Linked DNA regions of Caenorhabditis elegans. Changing the gene in region 1 together with any one later gene gives a genetic interaction. Each region holds a gene or a part of one and is shown in the gene's direction. Other genes may lie near its edges. The genes, in order: pry-1, mab-5 and bar-1.

The links.
Region 2: of pry-1 (region 1) and mab-5, changing one suppresses a phenotype caused by changing the other (phenotypic suppression), as found in Caenorhabditis elegans (one study listed by BioGRID).
Region 3: of pry-1 (region 1) and bar-1, changing one suppresses a phenotype caused by changing the other (phenotypic suppression), as found in Caenorhabditis elegans (one study listed by BioGRID).

The regions. Positions count from the first base shown.
Region 1 is NC_003279.8:14,170,799-14,182,227, reverse strand, and holds pry-1 (Axin-like protein pry-1), read left to right. Parts: upstream 1-2,867; 5' UTR 2,868-2,871; coding exon 2,872-2,976; intron 2,977-3,872; coding exon 3,873-3,935; intron 3,936-3,994; coding exon 3,995-4,084; intron 4,085-4,129; coding exon 4,130-4,267; intron 4,268-4,717; exon of another isoform or gene 4,718-4,790; intron 4,791-5,032; coding exon 5,033-5,214; intron 5,215-5,261; coding exon 5,262-5,393; intron 5,394-6,015; coding exon 6,016-6,244; intron 6,245-6,967; coding exon 6,968-7,148; intron 7,149-8,068; coding exon 8,069-8,491; intron 8,492-8,654; coding exon 8,655-8,754; intron 8,755-9,013; coding exon 9,014-9,104; intron 9,105-9,165; coding exon 9,166-9,192; 3' UTR 9,193-9,400; downstream 9,401-11,429. Other genes in the region: C37A5.11 (Very-long-chain 3-oxoacyl-CoA synthase), read right to left, coding at 9,442-9,583, 10,294-10,364. UniProt on the Caenorhabditis elegans protein: Works in parallel with axl-1 in negatively regulating bar-1 signaling in vulval precursor cells and Q neuroblasts. Inhibits Wnt signaling, which affects tissue specific expression of Hox genes, egl-5, lin-39 and mab-5.
Region 2 is NC_003281.10:7,776,133-7,787,397, reverse strand, and holds mab-5 (Homeobox protein mab-5), read left to right. Parts: upstream 1-3,943; 5' UTR 3,944-4,009; coding exon 4,010-4,153; intron 4,154-4,422; coding exon 4,423-4,505; intron 4,506-5,190; coding exon 5,191-5,294; intron 5,295-8,858; coding exon 8,859-9,007; intron 9,008-10,006; coding exon 10,007-10,129; 3' UTR 10,130-10,563; downstream 10,564-11,265. UniProt on the Caenorhabditis elegans protein: Transcription factor that binds to the promoter region of the transcription factor lin-39 to repress its expression in Q neuroblasts and thereby direct left Q neuroblast (QL) daughter cell migration.
Region 3 is NC_003284.9:7,164,105-7,174,502, reverse strand, and holds bar-1 (Beta-catenin/armadillo-related protein 1), read left to right. Parts: upstream 1-3,877; 5' UTR 3,878-3,886; coding exon 3,887-3,954; intron 3,955-4,068; coding exon 4,069-4,195; intron 4,196-4,260; coding exon 4,261-4,356; intron 4,357-4,413; coding exon 4,414-4,518; intron 4,519-5,151; coding exon 5,152-5,298; intron 5,299-5,344; coding exon 5,345-5,469; intron 5,470-5,517; coding exon 5,518-5,632; intron 5,633-5,686; coding exon 5,687-5,899; intron 5,900-5,946; coding exon 5,947-6,192; intron 6,193-6,237; coding exon 6,238-6,351; intron 6,352-6,394; coding exon 6,395-6,538; intron 6,539-6,586; coding exon 6,587-6,712; intron 6,713-6,758; coding exon 6,759-6,854; intron 6,855-6,897; coding exon 6,898-7,129; intron 7,130-7,173; coding exon 7,174-7,262; intron 7,263-7,308; coding exon 7,309-7,465; intron 7,466-8,115; coding exon 8,116-8,351; 3' UTR 8,352-8,498; downstream 8,499-10,398. Other genes in the region: pgp-10 (P-GlycoProtein related), read right to left, coding at 8,617-8,753, 8,866-9,076, 9,118-9,222, 9,272-9,478, 9,738-9,827, 9,874-10,033, 10,085-10,225, 10,272-10,398.

The DNA.
Region 1 (11,429 bases):
ATATAACAGTTTAAATTGTTGGTTTTGTTGGAAAATCACAAGAAAAATCGATTTTCCAGTTATTTTCTCATTGGGGCGCGTTTGCATTATGCGGTCCGCGAGAATTTAAATTTTTTAAAAAGAAAACTTGTTTTTCGAATAAGTTTAAGACAATTTGCGCTCAAAAAATAGCTAAATGCGTGAAAATTCCAGTAAAAACTCAGTTTTTGCGTATTTTCTCATTGGGGCGCACTTGCAACGTGCGGTCGGCATGAATTTGAATTTTCATAAAGAAAACTTTGTTTTTAGGTGTTTTAAAACACAACTTTTAGTTAAAAATGGTTAGTTGAGTTCAAATATCTTGGAAAAAACATTGTTTACGTATTTTCTCAATGGGGCGCACTTGCAGCTCACGGTCAGTGGAAATTCAAATTTTTGAGTTTAAATTTTAGTTAATTAGGTTTAAAGAAAACTTTCATTTTCAAAAATAACAAAATGTGCTCAAATACCCCCTCAAAATCAAAATTATCCTATTTTTCTCATTAGAGCGCACTTGCAGCTTGCGATCGGCGGGAATTTTTTTTTATATTTTTAAGTTTAAAATTGAGTTTTTCGGGTGTTTTGAAATGCGGTTAATTTAGTTCCCTTAAAATTTAAACGAAAAAAAAAAGGTTTTTGCATACTTTCTCAATGGGGCGTACTTGCAGATTGGCGGGAATTCTAATTTTCAACTAAAAAAAACCGAGTTTTTTGCATACTTTCCCATAATTCCCCTATCATTTTCTTCATTTCTAGACCGAAAAAAAAAAGATTTGTGAAGATCTCCGCCAATAAAAAACATCAAAAAGTGCCGCTTCTTCAAGGTTTTTCACAATTTTTGGCGGCGGGGAGAGGAGGCGCAGCAAGTCGGAGTGGACGGCGGGCTGGAGAGAAATATGAATAAATCGACAAGACGCAGGCACGTGTCGGCGAACATCAAAGAGTCGCTGGTTTTGAAGAAGGGGGCGCCTCCATTCTCACACCGACCGCCCGAGAAGAAGAGAGAGGAGGCACTTCACCCCCCAATTCTCTTTTCCTTCTCCTTTTCTCTTTACCCCCCTTGATTTTCCTACCCCCATCTTTTTCCTAAATCCTTCTGTTTTACCCATTTTCCTTTTTAGACCATCTTTGGGACTATAATATTTGCTTTGAAAACTGGAAAATTATATGAAAAATCCAGTTTTTAAATTTATTTTAGGCTCAGTTTAGGCCAAACTATTTTAGGTCTTTTTTAGGCGTAAAAATTTGAAAATTTTTAGACTCGGTTTAGGTCAAACCATTTCATGGCCAAATTTCGGCTTGAAATCTAAAAAAAATTACGGTAAAATCTTATTTTTTGAAATGTTTGAAAACTCAAAATATTCCAAGAAAAAAAAAACTAGTTTTACAACATTTTTCTGGGTTTTCTTAAAATCCTTGTTGGGCTAAGAAATTTTAAACTAAGAAATTTTGCTGAAATCTTAAAAAAATTGTGTTGTTTGAGGTTTACTGGCCAAATTTTAGACTTTTTTTTTAATGGCGATAATTTCAAAAAAATCAAGTTTTTACAGCGTCACATTTTTTAAACATTTTTTAAGCTTAAACTATGAGATAGCAAAAAATTGTCTACTAACAAAATAATTACCGTAAAATTTCCTACATTTTATTAATAGCCAACTTTTCGATTGCTTCAGGCTCCACAGAGTTATAACGGTTTGAACTCAAGAGGCGCTAGGCTCCTTTTAACTTCAAACCTCTATAACTCTACAAATAAAAAAGCTAGCAAAAAATTGTTAACTATCAAAATAATTATCATAAACTTTCCTACATTTTATTTATTGGAAACTTTTTGATACCGTCATTTTCTGCAGAATTACAGGATTTTGAACTTGACCTCTACGCCTCCCTTGGCCCCCAGTTTTAACTTAAACCCCTATAACTCTGCACACAATGGTGCTAGCAAAACATTTGAACTGACAAAATAATTGCTATAAAACGTCCTACAATATGCTAGTTAACAACTTTTTGATGGCATCAGTCTCCGCAGAGTTACAGCTATTTGAACTTGACCTCTAAGCCTCCCTTGGCCCCCAGTTCCAACCTAAAAGCTCCATAACTCCGCAGAGAGCAGAGCTAGCAAAAAGTTGTCAACTAACAAAATAATCTACGTACAATTTTCTACATATATTCAATTTAAATTTTTCTGCTAGACCAACTTACCAGCAAGATCAACGCCCCTAAAGTTAGGGGCCCCTCCCGGTAGCCGGTCGAGCGTCCCCAGTAAACTCTTCCGGGGGCACCCGAAACAATGTTCACTCATCAATCGTTGTCATCTTTCTGGAGACATGTGTCTTATCTGTGTGTGTGTACTACTACTCTTCCCAATACACCCCATTACTCTCCGTCACTATCTCTGCGTCTCTCACCCCCGCCACTCTCTCGCTCTCGCCCATTCATTGAGTAAGCGAGGGGCCTCATTCCTTGATTATCAGCCACTGATAGGAACAATAAGACACCCATAGTTGTTCCATTTTTGCAATTAGAGAGGGAATAGTGACGCTTATAATATATTGTATATCCTATATCTTATCACAGTTTTTTTTTTTTTTTTTTGTGTATAGTTTTGGCCTATTTTATAGGTTTTGAGGGGGTCAAACTGCTAAGTTTAAATAAAATTTGTTTAATTTTCAGTAAAAGCGTCATTAGAAAAGTTTTGAACAAAAAATTGAAAAAAAAAATTTTGGCAAAAAAATTATTTTTTTAAAATTTTTTCAAAAAAAAATTTCCCTCGATTTTTCAAGTTTTTCTCTACTTTTTTTTTTGAATATTCTCTTATTTCAACATAATCATAAAATTCACCTCCTTTTCAGGTGCATGGAGACCCATCTCGGTTGGGCGCGAAGCCTGGAGGCCGTTCTATCCGATCGATCGGCACTCGACGCGTTTCAGGAATGGCTTATTGAGTACTCCTCGCCTCAGGTAACTTTTTTTTTGGGATTTTTCTGCGAAATTTGGATTTAGCTTGCCGAGAGCTTCAAAATAAGTATAATCATGACATTTTTACGATGATTTTGAAAATTTTTAGGTTTTGGCGCAAAATTTTTAGATTTTCTTTTGCTGCGGGACCCAAAGTTCCAATATTTGAAATTTTTACTTGTTTTCGGATGTAGCTTGTCAAGAGCTTCAAGATGAGTATAATTATGCCTAGGTTACTTCAAACTTGAAAGAATCTGGGTCTCACCGCGAAGGTTATTACTGTAGTCCCAAATTTTCGTGGCGAGACCCTAATTTTTCAACCTTTGCGGAACCTGGACATCATTATACTTATCTAAAAGCTGACAGCGAGCTGACTTCGAATTTTATAGTTTTGCAGGCGAAATCATAATTTTGTGAGAATTTTGACCAGTTACAAGGAAAGTCTGCGATTTCACGTTTTTTCGAAAATTTTTTGCGAAAATTTCAACTTTTTTTAATTTTCGAGATAAATTTCTCATAATTTAATCAATCTTTTCATGCGCTTTTGGAAAAGCATAATCATGACCACGTTTCGCAAAACGTTGGGTCCCACCACGCAACCCATGGGGTTCTGTAGTTGTTTGTCGTTGTGGGACCCCATAAAAATTAAATTTATTGAAATTCATACACAGCATCCTGAGAGCTTTGAAATAAGTATAATAGTCTAGGTTCCGTCAAAAAAAAGTTGGGTCTCACCACGAAATCTACTACTGTGGCCCCACATTTTCGTGGCGAGACCCAATTTTTTCAAACTTGACGGAACTCATGCATGATTATACTTATTTCAAAGCTCTCAGCAAGCTAAATTCAAATATTGACTTTAAATTTCCGAATTCTCTAAAAAAATAAGAAATTTTCAGTACCTCGACTTGTTCTTCGCAATCCGAGCATACGAACGAATGGCGTTGGAGGGAAAACCGGAGGTATTGATTTTTTTGCAACTTTTTTGGCAAATCGGGCAATATTTATCTATTTTTTTTAGAAATCCCAACTTTCCAAGTCAATATACTCGAAATTTTTGTCCTCTCGGACCGGAAACTGCGAAGCAATTCCCAAGCATTTTAGGGCTCCGGTAAGCTTTTCTTAAAATTTTTTAAAATCAAAAATTAATTTTTGGATTGGTGAAAAACTACGTCATGGCACCGAATTAGAGGATCGGGTATTCAGTCATTGTTCGAATTTTGTTCAAGAATTTTTAAGACGCCAACACGAGGAGTTTGTGGGCTCCGAAGAGTTTATTGAGGCTTTTAATAAGGTAAATTGTTTTTTTTTTTAATTGTGAAAATTTGAATTTAGCTCACTGAGAGCTTTAAAATAAGTATAATCATGCCTAAGTTCCGTCAAATTTGATAGAAGTTGGGTCTCACCACGAAAACCTACAGTAACCCAGGATTTTCTTGGCGAGACCGAGGTTGTTTGGAAAATTTACAGAATTTGCGAAACCTATGCATTCTTAATGTAATATCGGCGGTCTCAGTTCAGATTTTCAGAATTTTGGCGAAAATTTTAGGGTTTTCCAACAATTGGGTCCTACGACGAAATTTTTCCGGTGCCTAACTTTTTGAATTTTGATTCTTTGCAATTTTTATTTACAAAATTAAACTCAATTGACTGAAAGCTTCAAAATAAGTATAATCATGCTTAGGTTCCGTTAAGTTTGAGAAAAGTTGGGTCTCGCCACGAAATGTATTACTGTAGCCCCAAATTTTCGTGGCGGGACCCAACTTTTGTCAAATTCAACCAAACCTAGGCATGATTATACTTATTTGAAAGCTCTTTCTAAGCTAAATTGAATTTTTATAGTCACAGTGTGAAAAATTTGAAAACCGAGAAGTTGGGTCCCACCACGAAAGGGTTACTGTAGGTTTTCGTGGCGAGACCCAATTCTAATAGAACCCAGACATGATTATACTTATTCGAAAGCTATTTTTAAGCTGAATTTGAATTTTAGCATTTTACGTATCTTATCGCAATTCTGAAAAAAATTTCCAATCCCAAAAACTAAAAACCCCAATTCCAGATGTCATCTACCACCGCCGACCAGCTCCCGGGAGGCTCCGCCCACCATTCATCACACCAAAACACCATGAGAAGGTCGTCAGGCACTACCTCCCGTAAAAGTGCCGCACAAATCGCCACCCAGCTCACAGCTGAGGCCCTCCTAAAATCGAAACACGACAGGCACAGCAAACTTGGAGAAACGTAAGTCGCCTACCTACCCTACCTATTTAAATTTGAATTTTTTTTAGAAAACTTGAGAAAATGTACCCACCGACACGTCAACCATACGTATGCAACGCCACTACCTCACACAACGACTCGGCTGTCAGCTCGACGTTTTCTGGGGACACGCCCGAAGCCCATAGGATGCATAGTAATAGGTAGGTGATTTTGGTTAATGTATTTGAATTAAGCTTGTTGAGAGCTTTTAAATAAGTATAATTATGCCTAGGTTCCGATAAAATTGGGTCCCGGCACGAAAATCTACACTAACCTTTTCGTCGTGAGACCCTACTTGGCAGTTTTCAGATTTTTTACTTTTAAATTGTGATAGCTGAGCTCAACTTACCAAGAGTTTCAAAACAAGCATAAACATGCCCAGGTTCCGTTAAAATTGGGTCCCGCCACGAAAACCCCGAGTTACTGTTGGTAGGTTTTCGTGGCGAGACCCAAATTTTTTCAAACTTAACTGAACCTAGGCATTATTATACTTGTTAGAAAGCTCGTTACAAGCTGAACTTTAATTTCAAATTTTTAGGGTTCAATAAATTATTTCTGAAAAAAATCGCGACGAGACCCAAATTAAGCTTATTTTTTTGAAAATTGTATTTTTTTGAAAACCTTAAATTTTAGTGTTGAGAGCTATTACTACAAAAAAACCAAAAGTTTTCGCGGTAAGACCCTAAAATTTTGAAAATTTTCAGGCCATGGCATGATTATACTTATTTTGAAGCTCTCAGTGAGCTTATATCAAATTTTTATCTAAAAGTGTCTAATTTCCAGACTCCGCCATATCCGAGACGAACAAGCCCGCGAGAATCACGGTACCATGACACTGCCACGTGTCGAAAAAGCCAGCGTCGATGGTCAGCAATGGGATCATTCTTCTGAATCAGGAAGAAGAAATTTTGCAATGGAAATCACCAGAAAACTGCTTAGGCATATTGATAAGGTTAAGCTAAATGATGAGATGGAGAAGAGGATTGACGATATCGAAGAGTGTCGGTATACGGTAGGTTTTTCAGTTTCGAGTTTTAGGCTTTGAATTTGTAAAATTTGAAATCAGCACGCCGAGAGCTTCAAAATATGTATAATCATGACTAGGTTTCGCCAAGTTTGAAAAATTTTGGGTCCCACCACGAAAATGTGGGGTTACAGTAATACCTTTCGTGGTGGGACCCACATTTTTTAAAACTTGACGGAACCTAGGCATGATTATACTTATTTTGAAGCTCTCAACAAGCTGAGTTTGAATTTGTAATTTTTAAAGTGAAATTCAAAGAATTTTAGGGTCCCACCACGAAATCGTACTTCGCGGCAGGACCCAACTTTCTTCAATTTTGCAATTTTGCTTGGAAACTTATAAATTGGAGCTAACTTTGCTCATAGCTTCAAAATAAGTATAAACATGTCTAGGATCCGTTTTATTTAAATATTCCTGGTTTAAGCGTACAGTAACCCTAGATTTTCGTGGCGAGACCCACTATTTTTCAAATTCAACTAAACTTGAGCATGATTATACTTATTTTGAAGCTCTTTACAAGCTGAGCATGTTTTTTTAGTTATCTAGTCACCACTGCAAAATTTGGATTTTTTGGGTCCCACCACGACTACAGTAACCCTGGATTTTCGTGGCGAGACCCATTATTTTTTGAATTCAACTGAAATAGGGCATGTTTATACTTATTTTAAAGCTCTTATCAAGCTGACTTCAATTTTCAAATTAATTTTTCAGACAATCGACATGGTAAACGGCACGGAGCCCAACGACGATCTGGGGAAAATCGATGAGGACGAGGAGTTGGATGATTATCTGAAAATGAAAATGACAGATGATTCCCAAAAAGGATCAACAAATCGATCACCTAAAGGCCCAGCAGGAGAGCCCAACAAATCTGGAGAAGGATCGAAAAATAGTGAGTTCCCATGCTCCGGTACCATATGTCGGGTTATTCTCATGAAGGGATTAATATTACTAATAGGTGTTAGAATTGGAATAGCTGTTAGTAAACATCTTAATGACAAAAATATTTGTCAGGGAACGTTTTTTTTTAGTTCGAATCTATGAAAATTAAAAATAAAAAAATTTTTGAAATTTTTTTTGAGCAAAAACTTTTTTCTCCAAAATTAATAAATTTAATTATTGAAATTATTAAAATCACGTCTGCCTCATTGAGAGCTTCAAAATAAGTACCAACATGCCTAGGTTTTCTTGATTTTGGGTTCCGCCACGAAAATGGGTGTTGTAGCTTTTCGTGGTGAGAACCAACAACTACAAAATGACATTTTTGCTTTAAAACTACAAAATGCAAGCTCAGCTCACCTAGAGCTTCAAAATAGGTATAATCATGGCTAGGTTCGGTGAAATTTGAAAATTGTTGGGTCTCGTCACGAAATGTATTACTGTAGCCCCAAATTTTCGTGCCGAGACCCAAAAATCTTCTAATTTGACGAAACCTAGGCATGTTTATACTCGTTTTAAAGCTCTTGACGAGCTGAAAAAAAAAATTACTAAAACTGTAAAAGTTTTAAATTTTAAATATCTTTCGTGGTAAGACCCAAATTTCTGAAATTTCAAAAAAAAATCCAGTATTTTTATATTTCCAGTCAATTTTCAAACTCAGCTCGTTCAGAGCTTCAAAATAAGTATAATCATGCCTAGGTTTGGTGAAATTTGGAAATTTTTGGGTCTCACCACGAAAGTTATTACTGTAGCCCCAAATTTTCGTGGCGGGACCCAACTTTTTTCAAACTAGACGGAACCTAAGCATGTTTATACGTATTTTGAAGCTCTTCATGAGCTGAATTCAAATTTCCAATTTATAATATTTTCCAGCCACCCTCTCCCCAACCAATCGTGCTCCCGCTCAGCTCCACAACACAATTCGGGTCCCGAGACGAAAAGATTACCCCCGGGACACCTCGGCTTCTCTAAAATCTCATCGTCACCATCAAATCGACACAAATCGAATGATGAGCCAATCAATGTGCGCTCCATCGTACTCCTCAGCCAGCTCCTCCTACAGTAGGGACTCCTTCGCGCCGGCGCCCACTACCAGGGTGAATTTTGCTCCGGGGAGCAGCAAATCGAGTCAATTCTATGATTCTTCGGGAATTGGGTCTATGGCACCGTCGGCGTTCTCCGCCACTTCGTCACTGGATTATAAGGATCGGAGGCAGCACAGAAAGGCTCCAACGCCTAAGAAGCACTCGAAAATTGGGAAAAATTTGTCGAATTTGATAACTATTAGCTATTTAGGTAAGGTTTCATTTTTTTATACAAAAAAAAGTGAAAAAAAAAATTTTACAAATTTTTTTTTGAAAATTTTTTTGAACTTTTTTTTCAGATTTTCTATGTTTCTAGGGTAGATTTTACCCTAAATTTTATATTTTCTAACATTTTAACTCAAATTTTTTTCCAGGAACCGATAAAATCCCTGTGGTAACACATGTCCCTAACGATGGACCAATGACGTTGGCGGAGTTCAAGAGGCACTTTGCTCTGCCAAATGGAGCACATCAGTGAGTTTTTTTTTGGGTTTAAACTGGGAAAATATTGATTTTAGGTTGATTTGGAAGTTTTTGGAAAATTTTGAAAAAAAAAATTTTTGCTCAAAAATATTTTTTTTTGGAAAAACAAATTTCCAAAAATTTTCAAAAATTTTTTTTTTCAAAATTCTCAAAAACGTTATTTCTCAATTAATATGGTATAAATGTTCCCAAAATTGCATAAAACCATAAAAATGTACTATTTTCCTCCCTAAACCCCAGAAATTTCCAGACTATTCTTCAAAACCGAATGTGAGGATGGCTCCGCCCCTTTTCAGCTTTTGCTCATTAAAGATGAGCATCACCTTTTACCAGTCTTTGAGGTAATTATTAATCTTATTATTGGACTGCAAAAAAAATTCCAAAAAAAATTTTTTTTTTCAGGGTCGAATTGCCGCCGAGCTCCGATAGTGGGATTATCGATTTTTGAAAACGATTTTTTTTTTCATTTTTCTGAATTTTAATATCATACACACAACCTACAAAACAGAACACAGGTCCATAAATTTATTTCGTGATCTTAAATTTTTTTTTTGAATTTCAAGTTTTCAAAAAAAAAATTTCAAAAATTTTTTTATTAAATAATATATGTATATTTCAATAAAAGTGAACAATGAGATGTAGGAATGTTGAAAAAACCAAAAAAAAAATCAGGAAAAATCAAGGAACACTTCGAAAAAATGCGTTCTGCGCCAACATATGGATCACCCGGGTGTCCTTTTTCGGGTTCCGTCGCCCGTCTATGCAAAGGTACATGGACCAGAGAAGTACCATTAGTATGGAAATGATGACGTAGGCAAAGCTGAAAAAATTTGAGAGTTTTTGGTGAAAACTAGACTTTGAAAGCTCGAAAATTGACAGAGTTACGGGGGTTTTGAAGGATTTCGTGGTAGGACCCAAATTTTGCATAATTTTTGATTTTTTCAAATCAAAACATTTTTTTTTGAAGAAAATTGAATTCAGCTCTCCGAGAGCTTTCAAATAAATATAATCATGCCTAGAATCCGTCAAGTTTGGAAAAAGTTGGGAAAACCTACAGTAACCCATTTGTGCTGGGTCCCAACTCGCTCAGTTTTGAAATTTTTATTTGGAAACTAAAAAATTTAAGTTTAAATCGCCGGGAGCTTTTAAATAAATATAATCATGCCTAGATTCCAATGAATTTGAAAAAAGTAGGGTCCCACCACGAAATTGATTACTGTAGCCTCAAATTTTCGTGGTGGGACCCACATTCAGCGGAATATAGGCATGATTATACTTATTTCAAAGCTCTCGGCAAGATACACACAATTTCCACAATATTAACATTTTGGGTCTTATCTGGAATACATTACTGTAGGTTTTCGTGGTGGGACCCGAAATTTTTGAAATTTCTTTAAAAATTATTCAAACCATGACATGATTATACTTATTTTAAAGCTCTAATCCTCCTGATTCCAAATTTCGTAATAAAATTCAAAAATGTTTTGGGTCTCGCCACGAAATCCTGAAAAATCGCCGAAAACTACTCACCTAACATACGAAACGACCTGCTCACGTGTCCAAGAGCCAAAAAACGACTGATCCTCGATTTTCTCATCCATGCATTGGTTCTGAATCGGGAGAAATAATTTAAAAAATTCAGAAAAAAATTGGGGAAATTTTGAAAAAGAAGGAGGTGAGGCAAAAAAATCTGATATTTTTTCGAAATTTTTTTTTTCCGGGAAGAAAAACTAAAATAAATCATAACTTCCTATTATTGTTTTCCTTCAATTTTCTCGTCAATTTCCACTCAATAAGTAACGTGTCAAACTGAGTGGCACCTCTCACCGGGTGGTAACTTGGGGAAAACAAAGGAGCAATTTTGTTTTCAAAATATTTTTTTCGAAACTGGGATTTTTATGAAGTAAAGTAGATTTTCAAATTCAGCATACTGAGAGCTTCAAAATGCGTATAATAATGCCTAGGTTCTGCCAAATTTGAAGAAAGTTGGGTCCCGCCACGAAAATTCAGAGCTACAGTAAGACTTTCGTGGCGAGACCCAACTTTACTTAAATTCGGCGGATTCTAGGCATGATTATACTTATTTTGAAGCTCACAAGAAGCTGTATTCAAACTCCTCTAGAAAAATAAAGAATTTTTAAATTTTGCAAAAATTGGGTCTCGAAGCGAAAAATTACTTCAAAGATCGGTTTCTACTAATTTTTGACTTCAAAACTGAGTTCAACTAGTTCAGAGCTTCAAAATAAGTATAATCATGCCCAAATTTGGAAAAAATTTGGTCTCACCACGACCACCTACAGTAACCCACGGTTTTCGTGGTGAAACCGAACTATTTTCAAAGTTGACGGAATCTAGTCGTGATTATACTTATTTTGAAGCTCTCAACAAGCTGAGCTCAAATTTAATAATAAAATTGTAAAATTGTGAAATTTTGCGAAAAAAATGAGGTCTCGAAGCGAAAATGCTCCAAAAATTTCTTAAAGGTAGCGTAACTCGGCGAAATTTTAAGATTTTGGTTCAAATTTTTAGAGGCTACTGGAATTCAGTTTTATATACTATTAAGCAAAAAATCAAAAATTATCTAGCATATAAAGGTCAAAAGCCCCACAAAAAGAGCACTAAATAAATGTGAGTGCCTGAAAAAAAGGGGGGGGGGGGGTGTCTCC
Region 2 (11,265 bases), on another chromosome or scaffold:
CAATTGTCATCAATACTTTCCTCGTGGCACTAAAATTTCAGTTCTTCAATCAAATAACAAGAATTTTTCAACACACAACTGAAAACACCCGAAACAAAATGACAAACCAAATACAAAAAGTTATACTGAAAAGGTTTGAAACCCGTTAAAAAAATTGCACATAGTTCTACTGGTAGGGCGAGCGGGAGGCGCACTCGTCACACACGTGATAAGTTTTTATTGTACTCAGTGAATGCAATGACATTATTTAAAGGGCTATTTTTATAATTAACTATCATAAACAGTCCACAAATTTTTGAAAATATCACACATTTTAGCAAAAGTTGTTCGGTTCCCGAACTTCGGTATACGGAACAACTTATTTCAAGGTTTAGAAAATATTGAAAACTTAGTTGAAACACAAATTTACAACTAAAAACTAATGAAAGAATGTTCATATTCCATGCCTTACTCATCCTCTTTCTCTATTCTTGGAAACTTCAAAAGGCGCCGCCCGTTTCATTTTCCTTGCCTCCTCTCTTTGCCTCCCGTTTTTCCTCATTCCGTTCTCGGCCTAACCACTGCATTTTTGAATTCCAGGTGGTCTTCCTTTTCGTTCTTTTTTCATTTTTTCTTTGTCGGTTAGAGATGAAAAGGATATGCGGTGACTAATAGGCGGAAAATTCAATGGATCACGAATCTGAAATTAAACGGTTTTTAGGGCAGCTAATATTGTTGTGCAGCAGATTTAGGGAGGAGGAAATTTAAATTCAAACATTTTGAGTTACATGATGTTGCACTAATTTTCTAATTAAAAACATTTTTTGAGACTTCGTCGCTTAGACTTAACGAAACAATTGTCGATATATCTTTAAAAAGCAGACGTTCTTATGTCAGTGTCCCTATGTGCCTATAAAATGCCTACAATATTCTTACCGGTCTTATGTGTTTGCAAAATTACATTTTCGATGTTTTCTTTCAGTAGGTTCAGAACGGAGATACCGGATCAGGCTTCGTTCGACAAGTTCTAACTATTTAGTCTGTGCGGCAATTTGCCACTGGCCATGCTCTGAAAATGATTTAAACAAACTTTCTATAACCCCAAATTTTATAATTTTGAGATATTGGAGATTTTAGTTAAGTTTAACCTTTTTTCATAATTTTGAACAACCGTTAAGAAACTATAGTTTTTTTAAGTATCGTAATGAAATTCGGTATTTTTGAGATTCTAGGTAGCACCAGCAAACAGTAAAATTTCAAATTAAATAATTTATATTCACATAGATTTTTGGCAAGATATGAACTGCTTTTAATAGCTAGAGAAATGAGTTTCTGATTAACATAAAACTTAATTTTTGATCTCGCCTTCTTGTCAATTTTATTTCACTTCAATTTTATTCACTTATACCTTATTTTTGAATTTATTGAAAAATGTAAATATATCAGAATGATGGTACCGCACCATTATAATATGTTTTGGCATTTTCTTTGCAAACTCTCGCGATTTCCTGTCAACGTGAGTGTAACAACTGAGTTTCTAGTATTTAACTCTTGATGTTTCTAGTTCACTTATAATAACTTTGGAAATGCAAACACATTAATTTTTCTGATTATTTCAAAGTCTGCTTCTCCTATTACCACCATCTCATTTTTTTTCACACTTCCCATTCAATTGAAATGAATGGAAGTGGGTGTGGAAAAGTCGAAAAAATCCTCGTTTTTTGTTCTATGCAGAAAGCATCAAGCATTAGCAATTGAGACGATTGAAAAAAAGCAAGCCGCAGAGCTCTCTCGACCAACCCGCAACCAATCGAAAAAATAGATGAAGTAGACTAATTATGTGGGGTGTTGATGGGCACGAGAATTAGGCGGAACCCACTGAACCAATATTCGGGATGATTTTGTGGGTAAGAATTTGTTTTATTTGTGAGAGCTGGGAGAATTTGAATGCTACTGCTCCTTTAGAAACAATATGTTTTATGGAAGAAAGTGTGTGTGAAAAAAAGTTGAAAGTGGTAACGAAGGTTTTAAAATTATATTTATGTACTCAAATCACAAATGACTCATTAAACGGTCGGAGTTAAGTTGTTATTTGATTTTCACTCTTTTTTGCATATTTTAATTATTTCTTTTGATTTTTCTATTAACTAGGTACATCTTCGGTAGATGGGTGCACAAATTTTTTAACTTTAATTTTTTCATTTCATGAAATTTTAATTTTCCGATAATTTTCCCATCTCCTCTTTTCACGACTAATCAATTTTTCAGATAGTGAAGGGCTATTATTATTCAACAGATACGTTTTTTAACGTTTTAATATTTTATCGGTTCTAGAAATTTTGATCCTTTTCATTTGATTCTTTTGATTACTTTGTTTCAAGAGTTCCAAATACATTGAACATACAAATGTCATTTTCTAACCTTTCTAATTTTCTGCAAGACTTCAATTTTTTCAAGTTCGGGACTTGAATAATACAGATATAGCATTTTGTTTTAAATTGTAGATTTAAATATATAATATCAAACAAATTTTTTAAAAAACCATATTAATTTTGAAAAAATGACAACTTCTAATCGAATTATTTTTTTAATTTATACTTTTGCTTAATTTCGTAAAATTTTTATTTTCATTCGAAAATTAAATGCCAGAACTCATTATTTGAATCATATTTTCCAATTTTCACAAATCTACAATAAGATGTCATCTCTGTAGGATAAGCCCTCTCAAATGCCATTGTAAATGACATCTAAACCAAATGCTAAATAGAAGCTCTTGACTTGGAATCTTAATAACTAAAATATTATGATTTCTACCATAAAATGCTACTCATCATTGCCTTCCCAGTCTTTTCATGCTCCTCCCAATTTCTCCGATTGGTTTCCCCATTTCCCGTCAACGCCCGGAGACTCCGCCCATTCACACGTTGTTCGCATCGACCAGTCGGCCGCCGGGGGGCCCCACCAATATTTCATCAGGCGCCCTCAACATATTTCAATTCTCCGATTGATTTCTCTTCTTTATATTCGAATATATATCTTAATTAATGCGTCAATGCCCCGTTTATTGGTTTTTAGTTACGGGACTCATTGGATACTTTATAATATTAGGTTCCAAAGAGAAACTGGAAGAGAGAGAGAAGGGCTTAATGTAATGGCATTAAAGATTGATAATGTGACAAATGATAAATTGATACGGTAATATGTAATGGACATTAGTCACTAAAAGATATTTATAGACCAAACCTCATGATTATCAAATAATGAGGAGTACTGTAGGGGTTTTGGAATGCTTATTTGGTTTAATGGAAGTCATTATTACCATTTTTATTGATAAACTTCTAGAGTGAAGGTAAAACAAAATAAATTTCATTAGACAATTTATTTCACTTTAAATATGCTCGATATTTCTTATCAAATGTCTAGCTTTAGAAATAAACATTTTATTTACTTGTAATTGTTTTTATTTTTAGTATTACTGACTTTGTCGAATATGTTGCTTTTAGAAAAAAACGTAATGTTAAAACATTCTGTATAGAAAATATTTCATAATATCAGAAATAGTTTAAATTGCAACTTTTGGTATTAAATAGTTATAGAATAAACGCTTTTAAATTGATCATTTGATAACTTTAAAACAATATTAATCAGTTGTTCACCATATATTATTTTTAACAGTTTTAAAAACTTGCCTTCTACAGCTTAATGTGTCATAATTAATTTTCATATTATTGTGCTTATTGATTTGAAAAATTATCTTATTTAGTGTTCACTGAGATGGGCTTTATACTTATGACGTTGAAACAAACCTGATATATTATTTCCTCAATTATTCAAGTTGTATTCTATATGGCACCATTTTTTCCTCCATCTTGCTCTCATTGCTCTTTCCATGCTCCTTCCGTGCTCCCTACTTTTTCTCTATCTTCCCATATTCTCACCCCTCAATTACCATTTCAATTTCAGAAATCCGCACCTTTTTGCCGTCTTCCATCACGCATCTACTCATCCCCTCAACTCAATCCGTCGGCAAATGAGCATGTATCCTGGATGGACAGGCGACGATTCGTACTGGGCGGGCGCCGGCACAACGGCTTCTTCTCAATCCGCATCATCCGGCACATCTGCTTCAGCATCGTCTAGTGCTGCCGCTGCTGCTGCTGCCAATAATTTGAAAGTGTGTGTTTCAGAGTTTAAATGAAAAATTTTAGGTTTTAGTTGAAATAAGTTCAAATATTTTGGGTCGAAAATTAATTACGGAAAATATGGGGAAAACCCTACAAAAATGAATTTCAATTTTTAAAATACTCTATAGTTTTCAAATTTTCCAGATTAAAAAATTAATAAAAAATTCATTTAAAAATATCAAGAAATATTCACCCTTGTTTTGAAAAACTTTGAAAGTATTTCGCAACGTCCCATTACTAAACTTCAAACTATTTTCAGACCTACGAACTCTACAATCACACCTACATGAACAATATGAAACATATGCTTGCTGCCGGTTGGATGGATAATTCATCAAATCCGTAAGTTTCTTGAAATAAAATTTTTGGAGCGAGAAAAAAATGTTGCGAAATAAAACAAAGTTTGCTGTAAAATTTTAAGATTTTTGCTAAGCGTTCCAGGTTTCACAACTTCCTTTTTAACATTGATTCAAAGAAAAATCAACAAGAAAATTTAAATTTCAGTTTTTGAAAGAAGTTCTCAGTCCGGTTTCCAAAAAATCAATAGTTTCATTGCAACAAAAACATTGAGTTCGTTTTTTTAAAATATGTCTTTCGGAAATGTTTAAAAGATTTCGGATTTCTTTAAAAAAATATGTTCACTCCAATTTTATTTACAAGCACTCTCTAATGCATTTGAATTTCAACATGAATATTTTATCTTTAATATTTTTCCATAATAAAAAAAAAGCAATTTTCGATCATCAAGCCTATAGCCATTTTCAAATGAAAACTCAATTGTTGTAAATTTCTCACAGGTTTTTCATTATCTTATTTTAATTAATGATTGAAGTTTTGAATAAGGGAACTTTGGCAGGATGCGTGCAGAAGAGCAACAAGGCAGGCAAAGGTCGCCTTGAAGACAGGAACAAAAACATATTAAAATGATGAATAAGAGTATTTGGAAATTCGAAATATTTTTTTTCCATATTCAAATAAGCGAATTAACTTACCACAAAATTTAGGATCCAACTTAAAATATTTTCAGATTCGCCTATAACCCACTTCAAGCAACATCTGCAAATTTTGGTGAAACTAGAACTTCAATGCCAGCAATCTCGCAACCAGTATTTCCATGGATGAAGATGGGCGGTTAGTTTACAGTTTCTCATTTTCACTTTTAAACTCGTATTTCCATTTTCACTATTTGATCTCATAAAAATGTCAAAACAAGACAAACATATGGGTCATTCTTCTACATTTTAATGTAATTTCGGATTGGTTGTTACTCGGTAATGACCGCCAAATAGGTGTGAAGATAGACATGCGCGCAAGAGGGGAGGTCCTAGAGAGAGGGGCACACTTTTTCGATTCTTATCTTCAGACTTTCATGGCGGTATAATATTAAAGAGAAAAAGAAGGAGAAAAACAAAAAATATGGCGACAAGTCGGTGTCTCTTTTGGATCCTTTTTCTCTAAATCGCGGCGGGAAAAGGACGGAATTTTTTGATTTATTTATGATACACGCTGGGTGGTTAACGGGGAAATGGTCATGAATAGGATAAAGTTTTATATTTTAATGGGTTTACAGTCAACACTGTTTGCCTAATGTTGCTAGTTATAAGTCTCAAGTTTTGGTAGTTTTTAGTTTTGAAAGTTCAAAGTTTCAGAAAAAAAAATCTACCGGCCTTTTAATATAAGTTTTGATTAACTTTTGGGTTATGAATTTTTCGAACAACTGCATGCAATATTCTATTTCCAATATTCCAAAACTCAGTCAAAATTTGAAACTTCAAAAACACTGCAGAAAACAATATCGATTTGAACTGTACAAAAATTTTAATGTCATTACCGGATTAGTGCATCTCATAAATGGTTGTTCAACTTTTTCCAGAACTTACTGACATGCCGTCCATTTTGATTTTACGTCTTAAATTTTATACTTTTTTTTAATTTTTGAAATATACAAAATACAATCTTTGGTGTCACAGTATAAATTCAATGCTCTTGTAATTATTTCCAAATTGATAATAGTTTGAAAAAATGTGTTTGATTTCATTCAGTTACTTTTAATTTCGATAATTTTTTCACAGTCAGTTCAAAACACGAGAGACAGGCTTCTCTGTTACATTTCTCTTTCTCTTCCTTCGGAGTTTTTTTCGTTCTCTTTCATTTTTTGACCGAAACCAGAGAAAAGCATGAGAAAAGAAGACGGAGAAAATGGAAGATACACGTAAATACGAGAGAATCTTTGTCTTGTTTCACTTTCTCTCTCTTTTACTCTCTCTGTCTTTCCCGAATCATTTATTTTCCTTGGTGCTTTGAAGTTTGCCGCCGTGCCAGAAAACCCACGAATTCGAGCCCTAAGCACAAGAGAAAGTGGGGGTCCGTATCGAAGTTGTAAATTGTCAATTGATTTATTCATTTTTGACCTCCTCCACAATCCGAACACAAGAACAAGTTGTACTAGGAACAACAACACCAACTTGTCAAAATGTTTGCGGTTCGTGTGCAGAGAGAGATGACCTGAGCATCGGATGTTTTATGACTTGATGCTGCAACAGCTGCTTCACAGGATGCTCCACGCAAAAGAGCAGAAACACGGGCGGTTTGTCATCACGTTCTTCTAATCCGATGATTTACGGTGGATATTCATTTGATATATAGCAGAGGGAAGAAGAAACGAAATTGACTGACAAGTTCAGACGACACCGGATTAGGAGGATCATACGGTGTAAAGTTGAGGCATCGTGTCTAAATTCCCTTCTGTCGTCTTATCAAAATATTATACGATAGACTGATAGAAATATGTTGCTTGGAATTTTCGCTTGTAAATTTTTAAAATGGAATTTTTCCCGTAATATTCAAAGTCAAAAAATATACATACCTGCACATCGCCTATTTTCTTCACTCATGAGCACCCCAAACGTTTAAGATAAGATAATAACGTTTTGACATGCTTTTTACAGTCGTACTCTTTGTTAAACCCATGCACCGTATTTTTCCTATTAGTCTGATACAATTTCTCAGAAAATTTCTTGTCTCTTTGTGTCAACTTTTCAATAGATTGTAAACAATCGATGATCATCTAGCTAAATTGTTGAAAAGATATATTGCGAACTTACAAAAAACTGATTTTCCGATTCAAATTTCATCTAAAATTCAGTATTTTATTGCACTAATCAAAATACATTGATTCTTAAACTGGAAACTTTGTCAAAAATTGACCATGAAGCTTCACCACATCACAAATTGCATGTAATTTTTCAAGATTATCAATATGTTACCATTTTCTTTTCAATGTCTTTTTCTTCTTCCGTTAGTCATTAATTTGCAATTAGTTTCTTTCGTTCATTCAGTTTTCCCCATTAACTTTTTTTGATTGATGCCCAGATTGGAGAAGTACAGTAATCCTCCCGTTTTTTCTCTCTGTGCCTCAAAACTTTCTAATCGAAACTGAAATCTAACAGAAAATAGAAGATTTCCCAAAAAATGAGAACAGGTTGAATCGAACAAGCGTTGTACTTCTGGGTGGTATTGTTTGTTGTTGAAGTTCAAATTATTATGAAAGGGAGTTTGAGCACGGATCTACCGTAATACAGTAGTTTTGATATGTCTTGTGTGTTTAGGGTTTTCCGGATAAAGAGGACAGATGGTTGAATTTCAATGAGGTATAGATGAACCAGGGTAGAAAAGAGTGAGTGTGTTGCAAAGAGAAAAATTGGAAATTGAAAAGTGAGAGAGAGTGTGAGCAGACATAGAGAGCGGACTACGGTAGTTTGAAAATACTAACCTATTGATTATTATGGTTTTGAAACATTTTTCTAATATTAGAGTAATTACAACTTGGTCAGCCGTTATTTTATCCATATCTTTTATCCAATAAAAACAAGAATTTATCCAAGAAAATATACCTAAATATAAAAACTCATTGCACTTTTTTTAAGAGCAATTGCATTTTTGTGTAGGTGTATATATGTTTCCGGTAGCTGGTTTAAAAATGTTAACTTCGAACCTTTGTTGTTTCTGCAAACTATATCTCGCGGGCCCCAATTAATGTTATTCCTTTTTATTCTCGTAACATTGTCGCAACTTTATACCTAAAAACCTTCCTTCACTGTATGCCGATAATTCTTATTATCTTAGTGTCTACTGTTTAAAATTAAAAATTCAAGGATCGTAATGGAAAAGTGGGAGAGAAAAAATGTCTAACTATATATAATATAAAACTGATTACTTGATAGTCCTTGAAAAATTTATATTCCATATTATACACAGTAATAGCTATTACCTTCAGCGAGTTTGTGATAATTTTCATTCTCCCTGTTGAAACATTTTATTAGAACATAAAGTTCCGCGAATTAAGCTTTCTCGATCATTACGCCATCGTTGTTAATTTATTAATTGTTTGGATATCATTTGGAAAGTGTGATGATCGAGAAATAGACCGCCCGGAACAGCAACTGTTATGAAGTCGGTGCGACGATAAGACAAAGAGAATTCGCGGCAATAATGAAATACGACATGGCTGGGGAACAACAACTGACCACGACCAATCAAATTGCGTCAGGGGTGGGATAGGATTACTGTATTTGATGGGGAAGGTTTATTTCTTAATTATTATTATTTGTTGACAGCTTTCGTTCTTAGGTGTTAATGGATTTGTAACCATGTAATCTTGAGACAGTTAGCATTTTTCAATTTATAATATTTCAGGTGCAAAAGGTGGAGAATCAAAACGCACTCGTCAGACATATTCAAGAAGTCAAACATTGGAATTAGAAAAGGAATTTCATTATCACAAATACTTGACTAGGAAACGTCGGCAAGAAATTTCAGAAACATTGCATTTGACTGAAAGACAAGTAAGTCTCACTACCAGATTTCACAGAAGTTATTTTAGGAAAATAATTTTGTATATTTTCTTGGCAATTACTCAATTTTCATAATTTTGGAAGAAAACCAAAAAATGTATTCGATTAAAAAAAATCTATTTGTATTTAAGCATTGTTGGGCATCACTTTCAAACAATTTTCTAACTTCTCGAAAAATCAATATTGTCACAAATTTGGCAATTTACCAAAACCAAAGACTAAACATTTTGGAAAAAATCAACACCAATTTAAAGTTACTCATTTTAAATTTCAGTATTTTGAACTAATGTTTTGTATAATTTGGAAAACCCACGCAACTCTAAATTTTAGTTTATATGGCAATAAACAAAATAACAACAGTTGTACCAAAATTTCTTGGTCAGACTTCTGAACACATTTTAGAACAATTATAGTATTTTTTTATTTTTCATACACTCAAAATATTGACAAAAAGTTTGTTCACTTCTAGTCTTTTCCAAAAGAAAATTCCAAAATTTTTTTGAGGTGGCTCGAATTTTTTCAAGCCTAAATTATCATAAGAACGTGTAATAACTACCGACAGATTTAATGCATAATGAATGATGATTTATTTTAAACAAGAATAGGGAATTATTCTTCAATTTTTTAAAATAATTTTTCTATTAAAAAGTTTTAATGGTTTTTTCGAAAATTCTTATTGCAAACACAATTTTAAAACCAAAAATTGTAGTTTCTTACTGATAATCTAGATAACAAAAAAGCAAAGTAGAATAATCACGTGGAGTCAAAAAGTCCCATTTTGCTTTGATCTTCGAAAAAATGCGGGAGAAGTGACGCAGACATCTGATCTGATTTCGCATGGTTAAGACTGTGCTGACGTCACAATTTTTCTGGGAAAATATTCCCGCATTTTTCGTAGATCAAACCGCAATGAGACAGCCTGACACCACGTGAATAATCTGTTTTGTTTTAATAAATAAGTATTTAATAGATACAATTAACTTTTTGCAGGTAAAAATCTGGTTCCAAAATCGTCGTATGAAACACAAAAAAGAGGCAAAAGGAGAAGGTGGAAGCAATGAATCAGATGAAGAATCAAATCAAGATGAGCAAAATGAACAACATTCTTCTTGATTTTCACTTTTTTTGGTCAGAATCTAATTTGAATTTCTTTTTACCTCGTTTCCGGTCGCTTTTCATTGTTTTGCTCCCATTTTTGTCATTTTCCTTTGATTTTTTGCATTCTTCATCGGTGATATATTGCTTTTAAACGACCTGAAAGGATTCCACGCCCTTTCGACGGGTCTTTGTTTTTATTGATTATTTCTCAATTTCTTCCTTTGCTTCTTTGGGATTTGATGATCTCAACCTTTGTCTCGAAAATTGTTTTTTACACACTGCTAGCCTATTTTTTGATTTTTTTTTCTTGAAAATTTTTCTACAGTAACATATCTGTTTGCTTTGATTTTTGGAGATGAAATTGATCTGTCATTATGTTTCACAGAGGACCTCACAAATTGAAGGACATTTGTGAAACGACACATATTTCACTGTGCCAGATGCAAAAGAAGATTGTTGATATACCATGTAGTTATAAAAAAGTGAACTGAGTTACGTCACACTAAAAAATTATATCGTCGATTTCTAATGAACATAAGAATCTGTAAAACTGGGCCACAAAGTGTGAATATGTACTGGATGATTGGTAGTAAAGCTTCATTGATTGCCTCCAAATAATACCTTAGTAACACTTGAAACTTTAGAAATAATTATATAAACCTGAAAATATCTTTTCTACAGTACCTCGCAAAGAAACTGCAGGTTTGAGATGTCCAATTTCTCGGAAAGTTGATTAGCTTTTTTAATTTTTTTAAAATTTAGTCATTGATTCACTGGTACTAACTAAATATCTCTGTGAAAATAAATGTATTTTTTGTTACTCATCTTTAAAAATTCGTCAACCAGGTTTATTCTTTTGCAAGTTCAAATATTTGTATATACTTTTGCAAGTTCAAATATTTGAGCAATATTGACTCCTTTTTTTATTAAGGAGTCAATATTGCTCAAATATTTGAACATTGGCATTATTTTCCGAAGTAGAAACATAATTAAATACTTTATGCGTTTTAGAAGGATCTATCGATGGTAAATAGTATAAATGCTGCATTTCGAACAAATAGTCAGCGAACTACGGTAGATGAGAGAGTACGCAATGAACATAATGCATTCTAATTTACGCACATTAGATTTTTTGTAATCTTTTTTTTTTC
Region 3 (10,398 bases), on another chromosome or scaffold:
GTTTCAAATCTTGATAACTGGCGCTGATGGTTTTACTATTGAAGAAATAAAGATACGACAAGATTTGTAACACAAACATTAGCACTGACAATGAAGAGTGGCACTGAAGACTAACACTAACACAATCATTCTCCCCTTCGCCGCGCCAGTTTATAGCTTTGCGATTGACAATTGATTATTGAGAGTTCATCTCTTTCCCATCTACTCCTCCCCTTCTTTCAGCTTTTCGCCCACATTGTCTCTTCCTCTTTCTCTCACCTTCGTTCAGTTTGTGAGATATATGTGGCAATTCAGATTGCTCAATAAAAGTGGGTGAATTTTGGTGAAGAGTCTTCACTTCACTGACCTTTGCACAAACGACTTTACATTCGTAGACCTCCGCTGACATTAGAACTCACACAATCTCTTCACTGACTTATCCAATCCACTGTGCAGTTTTGAATCACATTTAAAATTTTTATGGGGATTTGAAAATTTTCATCTTCTCACAATCAGTTTTATGATCATGATTTATAAATTGAAGGCGTTTGCGAATAAAATAATAATTATTCAAACCAGAATTTGAAACAAATAACTTTCTATTATGAAAAATGTGTGCACTTTAGGTTTGAAATTTTCAAAGTTTTCTTTTTTTTTAAATCATATGATCAAGTCTATATACTTTGGCATTCTTAGCAAAGCCGTGTCAAAACCCACTCCAATCATTTGTGCCTTTAACCCGACATGTCAAGCTTTAGAAAAAAATATAATAATTTAAGACGAAAGCAATATTGTATGCCATTCACGTAATTCGGGATCAAGCTCCAGTCTTAAAATGTTTTTGTTTTTGATCCTCTGCTTTGTTTGAAGTTTCAATCATTTTAATAATACATATCAGTTTCAAATGTGACAACATTCGTTTTAATCAATTGGTTACATCAAGAACTGTTGCCGTTTTTGCTATTTCTTTTTCTCATTAAATCCTCTTCATTTTCAATTTTCTCTCTGTCTATTAGTTCCACAAACGACCTTATCAATCTCCCAAACATTTAGCGTCGACAGTCGACACACACACACACACATACAAGCGACACTAAAAAATTGCACTAAAATGTTTTTACCCTTCTTTTCAATTTTTGCTTAGGCGCTAGAAGATGGAAAAGGGGCAATTGTAATGTACTCGCCGAGAAACAGAATAATGGATAATTTTTCATGTTGTCCTCGTGCCCTGCTGAGGGGATAGACAGATTGGACGCTACTGTCCGGTCGGTGATTCCTATCGTACTTCCCTCAAAAAGAGGTTCAAGATGGTATTTCTCACCTCCAACAATTATCTTCCTTACTTTCGATGATATCCTCATGTTTTATATTTTTAGTGTTCATTACGCGCGAAAAATTTACTGCAATAAAAAATAAACACAACAAAAAAAGGAGATGAAGACAGAAGGAAACATGATGAATCCTTCATTCTTATCGTCAATCTTTTTGCTGAAAAATGTCTATCTTTTTACCGTCTCCCATGAATTTTGATCTCCATTGTTTTTTTTTTCTGTAGTTCTTTATAATCTATAATAACAATCGCATGGTCACATGGGCGCGCTGCAAGGTGCGATTTGTTCTGAAATAACCGGGACACGTGGCCATTCAGAAATAATTGTAACAGTTATTTTATCCGGTTTTCATGAAATACCGAAATAATTTGTTTTGTTTTCAATCCGGAAAAACTAAAATTTGAAATGGAAGTACCAAAATACTTCTTCTATGAGGCTCTACGGCCAAAAATATTATATTAATTTTTAGGTAATGTTCCAAATGGAGTTTGAGGTGGCAATAATTTGAAGATAATATTCATTGCGTTTGTTGGTGTCCAACAAGTTTTCAAATAAATAATCACGTAGAATTTTGAAGAAAAAATTAAAGCACTTATTCTGACAACTGTATATTTACGTATCTACTTTTTTTCGAATTATTATATTAGTTCAGTTACTTCCAAATGAACACTGCAACATTCCACTGCGTCTTATTCTTTTCTTCAAAATTGATAATATGTATCATTATCATGTGTTAAAATTTTCATTTCTCGCAATCTTTACTTATCATCTTTTTAGAAACCCAACTTTGGAATATTGACGCCTGTATTGAAAAATTGGTGAAGGATTGAAAAATTTCAGTTAAAAAAAGTTATTTTTTTATGAGATCCTTTTTGCAATAGTCATAAATAACACACATTGCAAGTTAAAATAACTTTTGAGGTTAAAAATGTTTTTTTTTAGCACAAGACGGAAGCACTGATTTTTTAAATATTCCAATTTCCTGTAAGATTTTGAAATGTTAAATGATGTCTTTATGAAAGATTGCTCATAAGGAGAACACTGTTATCAGTAAACCCCCGACATGGAGCACCCGTTGCAACACTTTTCTCCATTTCTTAAACAAACTATTCTTCTTTTATTGCTTTTTCTCGACGTAATTTCACTTTTTTCCGGTTGTAAAATAATAATATATTATAAGTTTTTACAACTTAAAAAATAAATTGAGCAAAAACTTTTTCAGAATAGTATGAAAGATAGTTAATTCATTAATATAATTTTTAAGTTGTAGTCTTTATGACATTGTGTACATAACAAGTAAATGCAATTTGTCTGTGAAAGTGTTTAAATGTACAAACAATAGGCAACTCATACCCACTAAATGAGTCATTAACGTGTCCTTCAAAAAATCAAAGTTCATAGTATTGGAAAACAGGATAAAAAGTCATATTAATGATGATGCTTTTCTTCAGCGGAAATAAAAAAAAACCTTTTCAAAAGTGTATCATGAAAATTAGCAATTGATCCATTGCATGAAACAATAAAAAAAACATAATTTATAGTAGTGAACTCCAATAAAATTATAATAAATAACAATCAAAGTTTTGCTTAAATAATTTGAATGCCAGAAACTTAGCCTGAAAGAAAATTAACTTTTTTTTATCATTCACAGTTTGCAATTTTATCCTGCAATTTGAAAGTTAACACAATTTTTAAAAATTATTTTTAAGGTTGTACTCTTGGTTATTCTAATTTGCCATGATTAACACTTTCCTATTGACCAAACTTTTGTCTAAAATGAATAATCCTGATAACGATTCTGTCTAACGGAAACCAAATGATGGCTTGTTTGATTTTCCACTAGAAACCTTTTGAAAAACAGCAAATCTGGGTCGTTATGCTGATATGATATAAATGAATAAGAAAATAAAGAAGAATAAAAATGAAGGACTTGATAAATAAGAGTCGACTAATTATCCCAACTGATAATTTACGACTAAGCTATCCCATTTCTATTTTCTCTCCCAGCCTTCCCAGTTCTCCTCCCAAATACATCCTTATCAAAGTTGTTTCCCCCGTCTTTCCCGTTTGTTCATTTCAAACCCACAACTGATGACTGTGTGCCTTCTCGTTTCACCACAGATAATCATTATTATTGAAACATACCTCTAAATTTTATTAGCCAATTTCACACCTTTGGCTGCTCACTCACTGATAGGTGATTGAAAGCACGAAAGAAAATGGGTTGAATAATGCGAGCGGGACGGGCAAGGGGATGGGAATGATTGGGGGTGAAATAGAAGCCATCTGATATCAATAGCCCTTTACTCTAGGTTAGGTACAAACCGCTCATTTCTATTATTGCTTTTTCTTCATTACACAAGCCTTAGACTCTCTATCTCACTATTTCACCGCCCCATCACCACACACTCTTTCTTGTGCCCAGCAGGAAGATTTGTAATGTTTTCAAACATTTTGTTCATTCAGTTTTTTCACTGCTTTTTCCTATTTTTTCTCTTCATCCGGCAGACAAATCGTTTTTCTTGTTCGAATTGATTCATAAAAAAATATTTGGCTTTTTTTTTCAGAAAACTGGGATGGACCTGGATCCGAACCTAGTTATTAACCATGACGACACAAATTTATCAGAGGCATCTTTTACAATGTAAGTTTTTTTGATTGAACGAGCCTGCAAATTTGAGGAAAAGAAACAATTTATTTTGATGTTGGGAGTTATCAAAAAAAAAATTTTAAAACTGTTTTAAAATATTTTTTACAGGGAGCAACACACCTCGAGCTATTCGGATATACACATGGGCTCAACGCCCTGCACCGGCCACCGCAAGGTGGATATGTGGCGGAATCACAACTTTGATAGCGGTTTCCAAACAATGAATCACAGTGAGGTACGAGAAAACAGAGGAGAGATAGACACACACACACAACAAAGATTAATGTGTTTCAATTTCAGGCTCCATCTATTATATCATCTCTACATCCGTCATCGCATCTTTCCGGAATGTCATCCATGGCCGACTATGAGCCGATCCCCACTCTTTCAGATCAAGTAAGACCATTTCATATCAAAATGCGCTGGTGGACAAAATTGTTATTTTTCTTCCAGCAAAAACAAAAGTTTGATGGGATCACGCAAAATCAAGCGGATGGGCAGTATAACACAGTTCGAGCAATTCCAGAACTCACTATGCTTATGAAAGATCAGGATAATGTAAGATTTTTTTGTTCAAAACTTTTTTGAAATATTCATACTCATAATTTCACAATATATGAATTAAAAAAATCCTCGGTTTTGACCTATTTTTTATATTTTAATTATATTCAAACATCTTGTATTCCAACATGCAACAATGCTCGAAATGTTACAAATTTTTGGAAAACTTAGCAACTTATCAGAACTGTGACTGAAATTTTTGAAAAAAAAACTTTAAAAAATTAGAAACGTATGTCTACTATTACTATTATTACTATTACTATTACTATTACTACTATTACTGGACTACTATTATTTCATTTAGGTATAATATGATGTTAATTGATTTTTAACTTTCAATTACTCAAAATAAATTATCAAATCTACAGTAAGAAAAATATTTAGTCGAATTTATTCACTTAAATTTTCAAATCACAAAATCTGAAATTAAACTATGAACTTTTGATTTCAGTACTGATATTAACACAAAGATAAATTGGTTCTAATGCTGCTTACTGATGAAGCCGGTGTTTGAACTTTTGATTGTTTGTAACATTTAAAATCGATTATCAAAATTGAAGTATCTGGAAAAAATTTAAAAAAATTGATTGTTCTGCTGAAAAAAACATTATTCAAACAAAAATCTTACAGGAGGTTGTGCACAAAGCTGTAATTCTGATGCAAAATATTGCGAAGATGGAGTGTGACCCAATGCGACGGCAAAATGAAGCTCGAATTGTGGACCCCCGTGTTATATTTACACTGCGTGATCTTCTCCGTGACAAAGTTGAATTCCCGGTATAGCTTGTGCACTTGCACAGTTTAATACATCATATATTTTCAGAACATCATTCGTTGCACTTTGGGAACATTCTTCCACATTTGCAACCGACAGGAAGGAATTGATCTTGTCACTCGAGCGATCGCAGAACAACCTGATATAATTCCAAATCTTATTAGGCATATTGGGTAAGAAAGTTAAATTTCAGAAAAAAATCATTCAAATAGCTGTTACAGTACTTATCCAAGTTCAATATACAAATATGCCATTCTTACTATGCATTCGATTCTGTCCGATAAGCAGAGAGGCGGACAAAGTGTGATCATTGCGCGTCAACAAGATGCGATTACTGTAAGATTAAAGAAGAAAAAAAATTGAAAAAAAAAAATTTACAAAAAATTGCAGCATGTGACTCCGTGGTTAGAAGCGGAGAAATCAGAAAAACTTCTTCCAGTGATAGTTGACTTGATCAGAGTTTTGTGTGAAAAGAACACCGAACAGAAAATCAAGTTTGTGAAAATGGGAGGACCTCAAAAACTGCTCATGCTACTACAACACAGAGTTTATGAAAATTTGCTTTGGCGAACTACGCAACTTTTGAAAACATTTTCGAACTTTGTAAGAAATATTTGAAACTGAAGGATGTAATGTCTGAACTTTTCCAGGACGCTCCAAATCTTGTTGCTTTTGGTGGTCGCCAAATTCTCGCCAATCTTCTTTCACATGGTAGTCCGCGACTTGTACAATCAACCCTTGAAACTTTGCGAAATATAAGTGACGTACCAAGCAAAATAAAAGAAGATTTACTTTTGAAATCTCTTCTGGAGCTGGTCAATTCTCGAAATACAACAATCCGTCTATATTCTGCTCAGATAATGTCAAATCTAGTTGCAAACAACAGGCATAACAAGGTGCTTTTGTCAGAAATCAAGATATAGTATTAATTTTAATTCCAGGAGTTTATGTGTGGCAACAATGGGGTTGTCATTCTTGTGAGAGCTTTAACAATTGCCACCAAAGAGATGGGTGACTTGAGAGATAAAGAAGCACAGCAAATGGAGGATTATATTGTAATAACATTTAAATTTCAAAGCTTAACAATACGGTTTTCAGGAAAGCCTAATTTGCACGCTACGGCATCTCTGTGTTGGACATCCAATGTCAGATAAGGTCCAAGCATTTGTTTTCCGAGATCCTGCATTATTTCTACACAAATTGTTAACAATGAGACCAGTATTGCTGAAACACACATTGAGTGTAAGTCATTAATTTGAAGGGCTAATAAGAAATTGAGATTTAATTTAGCTCCTGCTGAAAGTTGTATCCCAACATGCCCTTCTTGCTCCATTCCGATCATGCCGAATTGGAGATAAAGGTTTTGTTGAGCAACTCATTCATATTTTGAGAGTGGCATGTACCCAGCTGAATGTGGTAAGTAAAAAGTCAACAAACCGACTAATAATTGTTGGATTTCAAGCAAGAATCTATCGAAGGTGTCCGCGTGAAAGATATCATTCATCTTTGTATTCAAATCCTGCGATGGATTACAAGAGACCAGGACATTCTCAACGAGGTATTAATGTTTTCAGGTTGAAAACCCAAATTTCAATTTATAGGTTGTTTTCTTCCTGCAAACTCCTGAAAATAGCCGAATGGGCGATGGTCATACTCTTCCAATTTTTGTATTACAAAAAGCCAACGTTGAAGAGAACACGAAATCATCGGCTCTGGCCTTGATTTATAATTTGATGCATCATGAGCAAATGGCAAACGTACTTGACAGAGATGACGTTCTTGTTAAAATGCTTCAAAATGTTCAAATGCAATCTCAAACTCACCCTGAATTAGGTAACGTTGCACACCAATAGACAAGTAGAACTGAAAATTTACAGCAAGTCTAGCAAATAATATTCTCAAGATGATGTATGAGAAGCGAGAAAAGACAAGGAATACTCTTCCAAGATACAATTCATATTTAGAGGTAACACAAAATGGGGGATAACTCTAAGAAAAAGTCAGTATTACAGAGCCAATTTGGTCACATGAGCATGACCACCCCACGAAGCGAAGCACTAAATAGTAGCGGTGAAGTGTGTGAGGGAGCTGGAGAGCAATGGTCTACACCTTTAACAGATGATACTATGATGGATTCGTATTGCAACAGCTCCGGACGAGATTCATCAAGTAAGATATAAGATGACAATTTAATTTGCTCTAGGAAGCTAATCAAATTTAACAAATAACTTTCGGCCATTTTGACATTTGCCGGATGTCAAAATTTTGAAGATGTCTTTAGAAAAGCAGTTTAAAATATAAGCTCAACAAAGATATATGTTCGATAATTTTCAAAGCTTCGGCAACACGATTGTTCGTTGCCGAAAACTTCCCGAAGTTTTTATATATTGCCAACTTTGATAAACGCAGGATTCCAAAGATTCTATCTACATACATAGTTTTGCTTACCATTGTGAGAGCGAAAAAAAAACTTAGGAAAATTGTTATAGATGTAATTTTTCAACTTTTTTAAAATAACAATCAAAATTTGACAATTATTCATTTTACATAGTTACCCATTTTTTGGAAGTAAAAATTGTTTAAATGTGAAATGAAGGTTTTTAATTAACGTATTTGCTCTATAAGTGGGGGTGCCAAAACTTTTTGAAAGAATACATATATTTCGTAATATTTTATTTCGGCTGTATGATTGTTTTGTTTTTTTCTTAAGATTATTTTACTAAACTTTTCACTGACGCTACTCCACCTTCGAATTGGATTGAGACAATATACTATTAAAGAAACTATGAACCTAGAACCAAAAACAAATATTTCTTCAGAACCATACAACTCACCAATGTACCATTCCCCACCAGCAATGTATCCAGAATACTCAATTGGACCTCCCGAGACGTACTTGGATCCCCATGCCACAGCATCTTGTTATCCGCGACCAACGCCTCCTCAATATAACAGCTATGACCGTAGTCCACCAGTTTACAACGACCTTCCATCAAACCCTGGTCCGAGTAGTCATTCGTCTGATTATTATCCTTCTAGGAATAGTCGATTTTAATTTTTTAATTATAACATAGACCCCCACACTTTCCACCACCCCAGTCGGATATTTGTTGCACATTCCTTGAAAATGAGATTCTAATTATTTGTATACGGGTTCATGAATTGGCATGCAAAATATGTTGAATAAAGTGAATTTTTATTGAATTTCAATTTCAGAAAGTGTGTCAGATAAGAAAATTTTTATAAAAATAACAACTATTATTTACAAATTATGAATTCCAGATTCAGAGTGTAGTTTTTGCATGCCAAAACAAATTCATTTACGTCATTTGATTCATTTCGTAGTAGATACCCTTCAAGTTGATAAGCTGCTCATGGCTACCTTCCTCGGCAATTTCTCCATGAACAATAACGTATATTTTGTCGACGTTTCGAATTGTTGATAAACGATGAGCGACTGGAAAAAAAACATTTTTCCCGTTAGAGATTTGCCAATTCTCGTGACGTACTGGCTGAGAGTTTAAACCGCATTAAATATTACTTTTCAGTTTCAATATACTAATTCTTACTTTGAATACACGTGCATTGAGTCTTCGTACTCCTCTTGACTCGTTCAAAAGCGTTTTGAACTTCTCTCTCGCTGGCGCTATCCAATGCCGATGTTGCCTCATCTAACAGTAGAACAGTTGGTTTTCTGATAATTGCACGGGCAATTGCAATTCTTTGTTTTTGACCGCCAGAGAGCTGGGCACCAAACTCTCCAACCTCTGTGTCGTAGCCCTAAATTGCTTTGTTTTAATGTGTTTTATTTTTAAACTCACCTGTGGTAAACTAGTGATAAAATTATGAATGTCCGCAATCTTTGCAGCTTCGATAACTTTATCAATTGTTGCTTCGCTTTCCATCATTCCAAAAGCAATATTTTCCTAAGAACAAGAACATTTTATTGTGATTTTGATAAATGGTTAAAGATACCTTGATGGTGAAAGAGAAAAGATCAGGTTCCTGGCCGACTTGTACAATGCATCTTCTTAAATAGGCCGGGTTTATAGATTTGATGTTGTACTTGTCAATGATAACAACACCATCCGTGGCGTTGTACATTCGTTGGAACAAAGAAATCACCGAGGATTTACCGGACCCGGAAGGTCCTACAAGTGCAATTGATTCTCCACCCCTGACCTTTAAGTTGATCGTTGAAATTCGATGCAAAAAAGGTACTTATGGGTTTCGTTCCCCTCAATATGTTTTCCATAATTTTTGATAGAGACGTGAACTTTTTTTCATTCTCAGGCTTAGGAAGATGGTTTCCTAAGCCTGAAAATGAAAATAGTATTAAAATAAACTTTCACGTGTGGATTAAAATTAAAAATTCAGTATTAAATAATTAAAAGAACATTTTGGGGGAACGAAACCCATAAGTATTAAAAAAAACACTGACCTTCAAGTTCAAGTTAGTCAACACTGGTACAATGGGTCTTGAAGGATATCTGAACGAAACATCCTTAAGACAGAGGTTTCCTTCCAGCTTCTAAAATAGAAAACTTGTATTTCCTTGGCTTAGTTAATAATTTTACCGGTCTTAAGCCTTCCTCTGATAAGTTATCCATGTCAACGGGTGGTTCTCTTATCACCCTCATAACGTTTTCAGCTGCAATCTGCGCTTTGGTAAAGTCACTGACAGATGCGATGAGTTGTGAGAAGAAATTGGCACCAAACTGAGTGAGCAGAACAACTCTTAAATGACATTTTCTTATTTTTATGTTTCTGCTGATCTGTTCTGGTTACCTCATATAATCAAATACACTAATTTCGTTTGCCAGCATCATCACTTTTCCAAAGTGAAGAGTAATTGCAATAAGGATATAGGTGAACGAGTATTGACATGCAAAAACAAGAGCAGAAATAAGGGATTGTTTTTGCATACATCTGAAAATCAAATTTTAGAACTAAATCAACCGATTACTGTACTCACTGTGATACTGGTTTTAAAGCATCGCAAAAAACGTTATAAAAATGAGATTGTAGATTGTATGCTTTGATTGTACTCATGTTTGCAAGCACCACGGACGCTAAGTTAGCAGCTTTTTTTTCTTCATCCA